Linked DNA regions of Saccharomyces cerevisiae S288C. The main gene of each other region encodes a partner of the protein of the gene in region 2 in a complex. Each region holds a gene or a part of one and is shown on either strand. Other genes may lie near its edges.

Region 1 (9,119 bases), on a different chromosome or scaffold from region 2:
AATTCAAGAAGATAACCTTAGTTCTATGCTTTATCAGTTCAATACAAGGAATAAATGATTGTCTTTGAACACCGTTGATATACAACTCATCTGGATGTCTATTCGAGGTTGCGAAAAGTACGACACCATAATCATCGGATAGTAAGGCAGTCATCAGCCTTCTCAATATCATTGCATCTGCCACGTCAGTGACTTGAAACTCGTCAAAACAAAGAACATGCGAATTATTTGCAATCTCTGCGGCCAAAAATGGAACCGTATCGATCTCTTTTCCTTTTGCATCACCTAGTTCTTTCAAATTTTGCTCTCTAACAATTTCATGCGACCTTTTGTGAACATATTGCATAAACTGGTGAAAATGTATTCTCTTTTTTGTTAAATGATTGGGAATTGTAGTATAAAAAAGGTCCATCAACATTGTCTTTCCGCAGCCAACATCTCCATATAGGTAAACTCCTCGAGGTATCGAGTTACCAATTTTGGATACATCCACATACGCCCCAATGTTCTTAGGTTTGCCACGGCTAAATACGGATTTAAGACCATTCAACCAACCGCCAACTTGGTCGACAGCATTGGGTGTCTTGACAACCGGAGGTACATATTTAACCAGTGAATCATACAAATCCCCTAAGGAAGAGATGATACCACGCTGATATGTATCATCCCGTAGCTTCCCCAACTTCACCAGTCTGTCGTACTCTTGCAAGGGCGTCAGACACTTATTTGACTTCGTAGATTGATACCGACAAATGCGAAAGCTGCAATGCTGCACTTGTCGGAAGGTTCGAACAGCATTGGGCTTCAAAGCGATCATGATTTTAACCAGCAAATACTATGTTTCACTGCTTTACCTATTTATTCTTTGTTCTTTCGGAGCACCCGCAAATCAGAAGAAAGGAACTTCTCCCTCCCACTTTAAAGTAAATCCGGAGATTCCCGTTATTACCTTACATATCGAAATATGACCCATAAAAGATGTGTAAAATTACGTAAGACAAAGGAACTCGGCACACCTATTGAATAGGTAATAGTGGAATCAGGTGCCTAAATAAATGAATAAGAGTACTGTATTATCTAGTAGTTGTTATATTATCTAACCTTTACATAATACGATTATTTCACATTGTTATGTTTTCGGGTAATAATTATGAGATGGAGTGAAATTTCACGAAGAGATACAAGTAAAATAGCAGCTCTTCAATAGCAAGAAGAGTGGCGCTGAGATTGAAAACAACTGTGCTAGTGTAGAGCAACTTTGATAATAGCTGGTACGTTTCCGAGAATGGAAGTAGACAGTATATTAGGTTCCTTGAGCATAACTGATGATTTTGACCAATTGGTTGACGTCACAAGTCTGTTTGATGAATTGTGTTCAAAACTAAAACCAGAGGCTATCGTGAAAGATCCCAGGTTTGATTTGTTCGAGGGTACACATTCTTTAGAGGTCAACAACTCCAAATTAGACTCCAGTCTGATAGAATTGACAGCAGAAGAAATAGAATTTGATGTGAACGTGGCCTACGATCCACCGTTGGCAAGTGTAGCAGCCATAGCGGATAGATTACTTAGATGTGTTATCTCCTGGCTGAATGACTACCAGACTTTACCCACTACTGTATTAAGCTGCAGGTATACAGAAAGCTTATTATCGTCATTAGTTAAGGGAACAACTGCCGGTTCGTCCTGGTGTACAGGGAATATTTTGTATGATAAAGTACTAGGAAGTTGCATACTTGGCGTTTGTTATTTAACAAAATTTGTGCAGAAACTCTTGAGTGCTGGTATTGTTTTTGAAGAGGAGGATTTAAATTTTAATAACATGGGGTTTAATACATTCGATAATTTGCCGGGGCAAGATGTTGTTATCAATTCTCTCACCGAGAGCCTTCAGATATTAGAGGCATATTCTGATGATAGCTTACATTTAACTATGCTGAAGCATATACTAAAAATTATCATTTGCTTAGTCCACTTAGAAGACCATCTGACAGACTATTCCACAAAGACAAGCCACCTGGATGAGCTAATTGAAAACGCTAACTCGGTTAATGGCATATTTCCACAATTACAGCTGTCTCCACCAAAGGGTGCGTTCTCAACATATATACAAAAGCACAGGTCTAATCAATTCCCTCCCAGGAAGATTACGAAGTTACCGACGGATTACAGCGGCTTTATTACACTGGCAAATGATGTTAAAACAATACTCCTTGTAGATAAAGCCGAGTCTGCGTTGGAGACCTACCAGTTTGCCAAATTCTTCAACAAGTTGGAACAAAGGCATGTCATTGCAAGGATCTTATTCCCCTTATTTTTCATTAGAGACGACAGAACAGTTTTGGGTAAATTTTCATATACCCAATTTTATTTGCTACATGTCAAGGAGTTTTCAGCACAAACTCCATCTGAATTTGAATCCTCTATTGGTAATGAACTTATCCAAGAAAGCTCTAATATGCTTTTAGAATGGTACCAAAACTGCTCCCAAAACACATGTAGATATAGACAAGGTTTTAACAGGCAACTTATTCTATGGGATTCTCTTCAAGCCCAGTTTGAAAGTGTCAATTCACAAGTTTACTGTTCGTGGACATATTTTATGAAACTATCAAGTATGATCGAATTCTCTTTAAAGGGGTTTGATTTGGATATTTACAAACCCTTTGAAGCATACTCTATGTTTTGGTATGTTTATTATTTAAGTCACCACTTAGAAACCTTTTTGAAAGATAGTCAAAATGATATTGAATCAAATATTAATGCCATTCATTCCATGAACAAAAAACTTAAAAAATTGAAAGCTGGTGAAAAGAAGGACCAATTGAGGCTAAAGTACAGGTTTGCTATGGATAATGAAATGGAACAATTACAAGCTACCAAACAATTTTTAAACTATCTTTTGAAGGAAATTAACATTACCAAATCTTTATGTCTAATAGAGGTTTTCCAATTTGCAATTTTAAAGTCATTTGGTTTAATTGACAACAAGAATAGTACTCCGTCAAAATTCTCTAATGAACGGTTAATCCATAATTTGAGATTCAAGCCATTTAATTCAATTGGTGTTCCTGAGTTACCAGAATATGAAGTATTTCAACAAACTTTAAAAGATTTTGTCATTGAAGAAAAAGGAGCTGCATTTGATATAAAGTTAGAAAGGGCCACTAACTTTATCGAAACTGAAGTGCGCAATGTCGTTAGTTCTATTGATGAGATAATGCAAGGAATCAAGGGAGGCGATAATAACGGCGTTCTAGTAACAGGAACAAGACTGGTTCAAGAGCTCTCTCTGGAGTACTATTGTAAACTAAAACATACTTCTAAAGCATTATCAGTCAACTCAAAAGTTATCGTCAACACTTTGAAAAAGAACATTAAAAACAAGGACTCCCACGAATACAAGGTTGAATTAGTTCATACAACAGAAGGATGGAACTATTTCCCCATACAAACATTGAGAATAAAGCAAGACCGCTATAAATAATCTGGAATTTACCCTAACTGTACAAAATATATTTAGCATTATATACCCGCTATTTAATTATTATAAAGGAGACCTTTATACTCAAACAAATGAAGCCACCTTATGCCATTATCCCATTCGTACCAGTCTAAAACAAGATAAATACCCTGTTTAACATCCGAACACCAAATATGTGTGGGTGTCAAACAAAGAGACAATGTAATGAGACAATGTACTGCTTGTAAACTATAACAGTATCAGCTCAATTTCAATGCCATCTACTCCAGATATCGTTGCGATTGTACCTACAAGCCGCCTACAACGGCGTTATTGTTGTAAGCTGGTAAAATGCAGTGCGTTCCCCCGTTGTGAGTTCGGGCCAAACTTACTTGGCTGGGAGTTCCGTCCGTACAGTTGTGGCTTGCTGCCTAGACTTAGGCGGACGCGGCGGCAATTACTCCTGGGCTCTCCCTAGAGCTGGAGAGACACTCTTGGTAACCGAAGGGAAAATCCCGGAAGAAAATTTGGAATCCGTTAACACTGCTGGAAATGGACATCTCCTAATACTGAAAAAATTATTCAAAGTCTAGAATTTTGGTAAATTTCAAGGCTTCTTTGAGTTACAGTTCGTTACTATTACACCTTAAAGGAACTTTCTTTTGGGGTCTAGAAAGTCGACAACAAGAACAAAGGATATACAAAAATGCCTCCAAAGTTTGATCCTAATGAAGTTAAATACTTGTACCTAAGAGCCGTTGGTGGTGAAGTCGGTGCCTCCGCTGCTTTGGCTCCAAAGATTGGTCCTTTAGGTCTATCGCCAAAGAAGGTTGGTGAAGATATTGCTAAGGCCACCAAAGAATTCAAGGGTATCAAGGTTACCGTCCAATTAAAGATCCAAAACAGACAAGCTGCTGCCTCTGTTGTCCCATCTGCTTCCTCTTTGGTCATTACTGCTTTGAAGGAACCACCAAGAGACAGAAAGAAGGACAAAAACGTCAAGCACAGTGGTAACATTCAATTGGATGAAATTATTGAAATTGCCAGACAAATGAGAGACAAATCCTTCGGTAGAACTTTGGCTTCCGTTACTAAGGAAATCTTAGGTACTGCTCAATCTGTCGGCTGTCGTGTTGACTTCAAGAATCCCCATGATATCATTGAAGGCATTAATGCTGGTGAAATCGAAATCCCAGAAAATTAGAAAAAAATTAAAGAAAGTTTCAAAGCTTTTTAGTTTTTTTATTGTTTTTGTATTTTAATATGATAATTGCACAAAATTCCAATACGTTTATTTTCTAATTTTTGATTTCGATTCTAGGGTTATACTTTTTCTATCTGTTTTGTCTCTTCTCTTCCTCTCTGGATAACCACAATGAAGAGGATAAGTGACACATTATATTTCTATAATGTATTTCCGAAAATTATATCTGCATGTGATTATACCCTCCGTTTTTTTGTTTTTTCATTTTTATCTTTTTTTTTTTTTGCTTTTCACTTCATTCTTTTTTCTTACTTTGCTTTCCATGCTTGATTCTTTACTATTATTACTAACTTGTGAAATAGTTTTCTAATTTGCTTTTTATTAGAAAAGAAACCATCTTGAACGTTTGACAACACTCTGGGACCAAGTTTCGATGGTTATTTTTTTATTTCCATCGATGTCTTTCACTGTACTTAGTTCCAATTTATATTGCAAACAAGATTAATTTAGGCGATTACTCACTAAGATATACCTATTTCTACTATGGTTATATTAGTCCATTTCATAGCCTTACATTTTCTCTTAGTACGTACTCTCTTGGGATTGGTCTGTTACATTAGTTCGTAAACACTTGTTAATCGTTATAGTTGAGGGAGGGTATATCTAAATATCTGAACTTACTTCTGCTAATGGTTGACGACCAATAACTGATTCGAAAAGTGGAAACTTACAGTTCCTTCAAGGCTACTTTCAGATGCGCTGATGGGCGTGCTTGACACCCATCAGCTTTTCAAGTTATGTATACGTTAATTGCAATAATGAAAGGAGGAAAACAAAACCTTTCCTGCGTATGTATCTATGGGTCTGAGCAACTTCCCAACTTACTGGCTGCCTCTGCGGTAAAAACTATCAAAATATTATTTTGCATTGGTAAATATGATAGACCGGACATAAAATATCCGCAAAAGTAATAGTCTTCAAAATCAACGGACGCTATCATTTTACCCGGCCTTTAAAGCGTGAATAACACGAAAAATTTTATTGCGATGGCCAGAATTGCCTTAGAGGGCAATTTAACATTAATCTGAGGCTGCGGTTTGCACTTAATTCGAAGTTTGAATCGGGTATCCATTAACAAGGGTGATTCTTTCCACAAGTGCATCTTTTTGTCCACAAAAAAAATGACAGGGAAAGTCAACAGAGACCTTTTTTTTAAACTAGCTTCTGATCTTCGAGAAGAGCGTCTACATGCAGCTGTCGCATTAATAAAGGACTTATCCGCATTAGATTTGCCCGACGATGCAGAAGAATGGTCTTATGTATTGAATCGTTTAATCAAGGGTTTGTCGTCTGACAGAAATAGCGCGAGGTTAGGATTTTCTTTATGTTTGACGGAAGTAATCAATTTAGCTGTTAATATGCCACCAGGTCAACGACCAAAAGGTTTAGAATCAACGAACGAGTTCTTGAGCACCTTATCAACCATTTTGAACGTTAATGTCAATGAGGGAACAAAAAAATCCATGAAGGGCAAAGATGAGCGTGGAATTTTATTTGGGAAGTTATTTGGCTTGAAATCTCTACTAAATGAACCTTTATTCTCAGAAATATTTGTTAAAGATTTGGAAAAAGGAAACACCGAGTTTTTCATTCGATTCACGGAACAGCTAATTGATCTGGCCCTGAAGAAAAACTGGATCAAAGAACCATGCTTTTTTACCCTTTTCCAGACTATGAAAATGCTGCTACCTTTTATGGATGAAAGTTCCGCTGAAAAAATTCTTCTGATATATGATAAATATGACCTGACTCTGACAAATGAGGGACTGTCAACTTATTTGTTGCTGAAATATGAAGGTGATGAAAGTCTAATTCCCTCGGTGTTGGATTTGAAAAATCCAGGTTGGAAGGATAACGACCCTCTGGCAAGAGGAAATCTGCCCCTTTTAACAAAAGTATTGAGAAACTCTTCTGTAATTCCGGATGCCAATGGAGGTTTAAAAGAGACGAAAAAACAAAAAAACACGAATTGGAACCCTAGGCTGCATTTTGTTTGGAGTGTTCTGCTACCGTTGTTTGGTAATGGAAAATTAGAGAACACTAGTCATATTTCGAAGAAAAGGAAGAAAACCAACAATAAAAAGGTTCAGAATTCAATTCAATTTCCAGAGTTTTGGAAAATGGCCGTGGACGAATCATTTTTCAATGAGAAAGCTTCTAGTGAAAGAAAATATTTAGGCTTTCTAATAATCGACGCGGCTTTCAAGGCAGTTCCTGGCTCGTACATCGGGTTTTGCTTCAGCCAAAACGTTATGAGAACATTGATCAACCAATCAATAGATTCACAAAGAGTTTTAAATAAGATTTCCCAGTTAACTTTAGACTCCATAGTGAAGGCTTGTGAAGAAGATTCTGCAAACAGACTAGTACCTTGTTTAAATGCAATGTTATTTGGTCCTCACGGTTCCATAAACTTTGATAAGTTAACAAAATCTGGCACCGTTTCCAAACTTATTGCAATTAAAGAATTACCTTCTACTGTTCTTGCCCAATTACTCGATGTGTTTTTTCTACAGTTACAAGATAAAAAGGGAGTTTTATCTCATACCCTTTTTGCTCTTGATTCCATCCTTCATATAGTTCGTGCACACAAAGTCGAAATCAATGACATGGACATAATGAAGCCCGTGTTGAGACCCATCGTATATATGGCTTTCTTCAAACATACATCAGATGATCTGAAGTTAGAACAGCTACACGAATTAGCCAAGGAAAGACTTTATTCCATCCTGGGAGAGTTGACAATAAACAAAGAAATACGTTGCAAAGATCCTGAAATAAACTCATGGCAATATCTGACATTAAAGTTAATACTGGACATTGAAAATTCTCATGTAGGAGATTTAATCAATCCACTGGACGAAAATTTAGAAAATATAAAAAACGAAGCTATATCTTGCTTGAGTAAAGTTTGCAGATCAAGAACTGCTCAATCTTGGGGTCTAAGCACGTTGTTATCTATGTGCTTAGTACAATTATATGCAGGTGACACCGATTCTATTTCTGTGATCGAAGAACTTTGCGAATTTTCCAAACACGAGAATAACTCAATGGTAGGCATCACTGAAATCTTACTATCACTTTTAGCCCAAAAGAAGGCCTTACTCAGGAAATTGAGTTTAATAATCTGGCAGCAGTTTATTGAAGAAGTTGGTTTGGAAGAATTGCAAATTTTATTAGATATTTTAAAAGCGAGAGAAAACAAGCAAGGTTTTGCCCAGCTATTCGAAGGAGAAGAAGAATTTGAAGAAATTAAGGAAGAAAATGATGCCAGTGAAGACGAATCGAAAACTGGTAGTGAAAGTGAAAGTGAAAGTGAGAGTGATAGCGATGATGCTGATGAAAAAGATGAAGAAGACGAGGCAAATGAAGATATTTTGAATATTGATAAAGAGGCCACTAGCGCCTTAGTGAAGGCGTTAAATTTACCCGATAACATAGTTAATGATAAAGGGGAAGTTGACTTAGACCAACTCGAAGGGCTTTCTGACGACGGTGGAGACGATGAAGATGAGGAGTCTATGGATGATGAAAAAATGATGGAATTAGATGATCAGTTATCCGAAATTTTCAAACGTCGTAAGGAAGCATTATCAAGCATATCTACTGGAAACCAGAGGAAATTTGAGGTAAAACAATCTAGGGAAAACGTTATCTCGTTCAAGCATAGAGTTGTCGACATGTTAGCCGTTTACGTCAAATATTGTGAAAAATTGACTCTTGCTAATAAAAGTGAACATTCCAACAATTTAGGAGGCTCATTAAGCAAGCTCGTTTATTTTATTATCCCAATGCTGAAATGTGTCAATGAAACTCTTGATAGGCCACTTGCCGACAAAATTTCTAAATTGTTGAAGGGTAAAATATTCAAGATAAAAGTAACTGCATTCAAAGACATGAACAAAGACATCGAGCTTATGGATTTGTTGAAAAAAACACACAAGCTGATGCTGACTTCTAAGCCAGGTCAGCATGCTGCAGTGTTTTATTCAATGTGCTCAACCAGCTCACTGTTTTTGAGTAAGTTATACGTTGAAATCGGTGGTAACGACAAGCTTGACGAATTGATTGACTTGTATACTGCAACTACCAAAGAGTGGATGCAAAAAGGAAAATGTGGACCTAACATTTTTATTGATTTCATCAATTGGCTATCTTCAAAAAAGCAAACTGTAATGGATAAGGAATAATCTAAGTATATTTTATCACTCCTCAAAATCGGATTATGTATGTTGATCTTTGTTTAATTACGCCTTTTCGCCAAAGAAACAATAAAAAAACTATATATTAGCTTATTATATCCTTGTTCACCTTTGGTGGACCTCCCACGATGGGTAGACTATGGGAACACTTCCAAACTTGTAAAATATTTTCTTCTTCAGCACTTGCTAC
Region 2 (3,973 bases):
ATTGAAACAGGTGAAAACCATAATGGCCAAAGTATATCTAACGAGAATGATGTCAAACCCATTTCTATTGAAGCACCTCAATTTTACAGGTATTGGTCGGCATAACAATGACACATGGAGATCATTTTTGTTTTTGTTGTAATTATTCTTCATTAGTAACACTTTCTATTTTGTTTCGCTCTATATTTTTGCTTATTTTCTTTCTTCTAGGTTCATTTCTTTAATGGTGCGTCACTTGACTTGGCTTCTCTCTGATTTTTATCCCATTTCTCTAGATTCGACTAGACATGTTATGTACATGTAGATATATATCTATAATTGTGTTATTTTCTATTTTTTCTATTTTTTTTATTTAAAAGAGCCTTTATCAAAAGTTATTTTTCTTGTTCTGTGTTGTTCTTAGTTTGATTTTGATTCTGTGTATTGGCCTAAACAAATTAGTATATAGTAGTATATAAATCAAATATTCACTTTAAAAGATTTTAAAATTAAAAAAGCATTTAAGCAGAGATACGTTTTTGGGCAGCAATTCTACCTCTTTGTCTAGAAGTCAATCTGACAACCTTCTTTTCAGCAGCCTTGGCGACAGCTTCTTCCTTTTCGGTAACAACCAATTCAATGTGAGATGGAGAAGATTCGTACTTGTTGATTCTACCGTGGGCTCTGTAAGTTCTTCTTCTTTGCTTTGGTGCTTGGTTAACTTGGATGTGAGAAACGTACAACTTGGTAGCATCTAGACCCTTAGCCTGTTTTAAAAAGAAAATTAATAGTAATTCATTGTTAGTAAAAATTTTAAAGTCGTAGTGTAAGAAAAAATAAGATTAGAAAACACTATGCTATACGCTTAATAGGTATCCATAGTTCCTTTTTGCATGTCCCATTTCTTCTTTATTTCTTTTCTCTTTCATTTGGAAAACTGTTAATTTTAGCTCTTTCGAATCGTGCATTCATGCAGAAAATAGGATGCAACACATATGAACATATTCTAATACTTTATCATCTCCCGTCAACACATCATTATTATTTTTCAATCTTATTTTTCATATTTTCATTTTAAACATACTTCAGCATTGGCAGCGGCGTTTTGCAACAAACCTTGAACGAACTTAACAGATTTAGCTGGCCATCTAGCCTTGGTGACACCAAATTCCTTACCTTGGGCAGTTCTACCAATAGAGGAGTTAAATCTTCTGAATGGGATGGCTCTTTGGTGGTCCAAAACTTGGTCCAAGTATTTTTGAGCCTTAGTCAATTCCCAACCATTAATGGCTTGAGCAGTTTCCCTGGTGTTCTTGAAAGAAACACGCAAATAAGAACCACGAGCTGACGCAGATTTAGCTGGGTTGGTTGAAGTAGCACCGTATCTTGCCATTTTAAATTTGTTCGTTTCGTTAATTTTTTGATTCACCAAGACAAAAGTCAATAAAACAAAAATAATGCAGGGAAAGAGTACAAGCTACACTAAAAAGAAATTTCTATATAGACAATAATAAACACCAATTACTAAGGGCTACCTACACTACTACACCTCTGCATAAAAGGTGTTGATGAATTTAACAAATACGATCAAATCCAGACACTTCCTCTCACAGTTACCCATCATCCGCCAATTCTCTCTGAGTTTGTGAGAACCAACATTCTGCAAACTCTGGATGAAAAATTAGCCACCCTGCTGCATTGTCACGGGCTGGACATTTGGTATTCCGTTTGGAATAGGAAGGAGCTAGGGGCAGACCTCAGGGTCGAACCGAGCCTAGCTGGAAGGAGATCATCACAGAAAGAGCGAAAGAGCTTCACTTCCCACGCCTACTTTTGTTCTCCGACATAGAAATATCATATCCTCAAAAACGGCCAAAAAAGTTTCAGTTAAAAAAAAAACAAGGCCATGTATGGGTGAGAATGTCCAGGTGCAAATTGAAAAGGATGCCGTCCTTTTTCCGTCTTCCTTCTTTTTCGTAAGCGACGGGTTTTCAAGAGGTTAGTGGCATATTAGTCTGCTGTAGATTTATATCTGAGATCTTCAATCGATGCGATAGATAAAGGTAAGGAAAGCTTTCACGATGGTATCGAAGACTTGGATATGTGGCTTCATCAGTATAATTACAGTGGTACAGGCCTTGTCCTGCGAGAAGCATGATGTATTGAAAAAGTATCAGGTGGGAAAATTTAGCTCACTAACTTCTACGGAAAGGGATACTCCGCCAAGCACAACTATTGAAAAGTGGTGGATAAACGTTTGCGAAGAGCATAACGTAGAACCTCCTGAAGAATGTAAAAAAAATGACATGCTATGTGGTTTAACAGATGTCATCTTGCCCGGTAAGGATGCTATCACCACTCAAATTATAGATTTTGACAAAAACATTGGCTTCAATGTCGAGGAAACTGAGAGTGCGCTTACATTGACACTAAAAGGCGCTACGTGGGGCGCCAATTCTTTTGACGCAAAACTAGAATTTCAGTGTAATGACAATATGAAACAAGACGAGCTGACTAGTCACACATGGGCCGATAAAAGTATCCAATTGACCCTAAAAGGGCCATCTGGCTGTTTGAAGAGCAAAGATGATGACAAAAAAAATGGCGACGGCGATAATGGTAAGGATGGTGACAGCGAGGGGAAAAAGCCAGCTAAGAAGGCAGGCGGGACTTCGTGGTTCACTTGGTTATTCCTATACGCTCTACTGTTTACATTGATATACCTGATGGTTGTATCATTCTTGAATACCAGAGGAGGCTCTTTTCAAGATTTCCGTGCTGAGTTCATTCAACGTTCTACTCAATTTCTCACTTCCTTACCTGAATTCTGCAAGGAAGTGGTTTCGAGAATCTTAGGCAGAAGTACCGCCCAAAGAGGCGGTTATAGCGCCGTTTAAATAAGTTTACTGGCTTACAATTCGATATTTTTGCAACAGCAGTGCTAACCTTTTATTATATTTATATAAACTCTAAGCTTTTATATCTACATTATACTAATAAAAAAAACTTGTTCCCGTAGTAAGTTTTCCGGCTAAGAAAGGAAAGGCTATTGCCGCTTTCTTTTAATTCTTCATCAATGCCTTTAGATTGTCTATTGTTTTTTCAACAGTAGTTTCTAAATAGTTCTTCTTTATCTTTAATGTTTTTCTTTGATCCAGAAGAACAGTTTCGTCATGTGATAAATCATTAACGTATTTGGATTTATCCTGTAAGATAAACGATTTACCGCAAGATCTCCATACTTTGTCCGTTGGATAAGACTCTAGTTCTTTCTTTGTCAATTCAGCAAGCTTTTCTTGTCTGTCCAAATATGCTAGCTGCTGATTGACCATATCCAATTGTGTCCTGGCGTTTCTTAAGCTCACTGTCATTTCTTGTGCTATCTGTGACATGTTTGTAAGTATGTATTATTGATTCAATTTAGTAAAGAGCTCTGTAGATAGTTCTTTAATTCCCATCTGCTCATCTGAGAAATTTCTTCACTGTTACTTTTTAATTGCTATATCTTTAAACTCATTCATTTTCTTCAGAGAAAAGAAAAAAATTAAGGTAAAGGAAAAGGCTAAATAAGAACAAAACACTTGAAGGCAAACGAAACCCTACAAAAGAGAATACGGAATGCTGCCATCATTAAGGAAGGGATGCTTCATTGTGAATTCCATAAGATTGAAACTGCCCCGATTCTACTCATTAAATGCCCAGCCACTGGGGACAGACAACACGATTGAGAATAACACTCCTACGGAAACAAATAGATTGAGCAAAACTTCACAGAAGTTTTGGGAAAAGGTGTCACTAAATAGGGATGTTGAGAAAGGAAAGATTGCTCTACAATTAGATGGCAGGACTATAAAAACTCCTCTAGGAAATGGAATTATAGTTGATAATGCAAAGTCTCTCTTAGCATACCTATTAAAACTGGAGTGGTCGTCCCTATCCAGTCTTTCCATCAAAACTCACTCTTTGCCACTAACTTCATTAGTGGCAAGATGCA

What was found. The genes of interacting proteins can lie anywhere in the genome.
Region 1: RPL17B (region 2) and RPL12A share a complex: the UniProt entries of both Saccharomyces cerevisiae proteins name them as parts of the large ribosomal subunit.

The regions. Positions count from the first base shown.
Region 1 is NC_001137.3:48,269-57,387, reverse strand, and holds RPL12A (60S ribosomal protein uL11 RPL12A), read left to right. Parts: upstream 1-4,169; coding exon 4,170-4,667; downstream 4,668-9,119. Other genes in the region: AFG1 (Afg1p), read right to left, coding at 1-817; MAK10 (Mak10p), read left to right, coding at 1,286-3,487; POL5 (DNA-directed DNA polymerase), read left to right, coding at 5,849-8,917; HAT2 (Hat2p), read right to left, coding at 9,015-9,119. UniProt on the Saccharomyces cerevisiae protein: Component of the ribosome, a large ribonucleoprotein complex responsible for the synthesis of proteins in the cell.
Region 2 is NC_001142.9:88,185-92,157, reverse strand, and holds RPL17B (60S ribosomal protein uL22 RPL17B), read right to left. Parts: upstream 1,373-3,973; coding exon 1,064-1,372; intron 747-1,063; coding exon 501-746; downstream 1-500. Other genes in the region: SWI3 (Swi3p), read left to right, coding at 1-105; ATG27 (Atg27p), read left to right, coding at 2,061-2,876; PFD1 (prefolding complex chaperone subunit), read right to left, coding at 3,042-3,371; ATP synthase complex assembly protein ATP12, read left to right, coding at 3,598-3,973. UniProt on the Saccharomyces cerevisiae protein: Component of the ribosome, a large ribonucleoprotein complex responsible for the synthesis of proteins in the cell.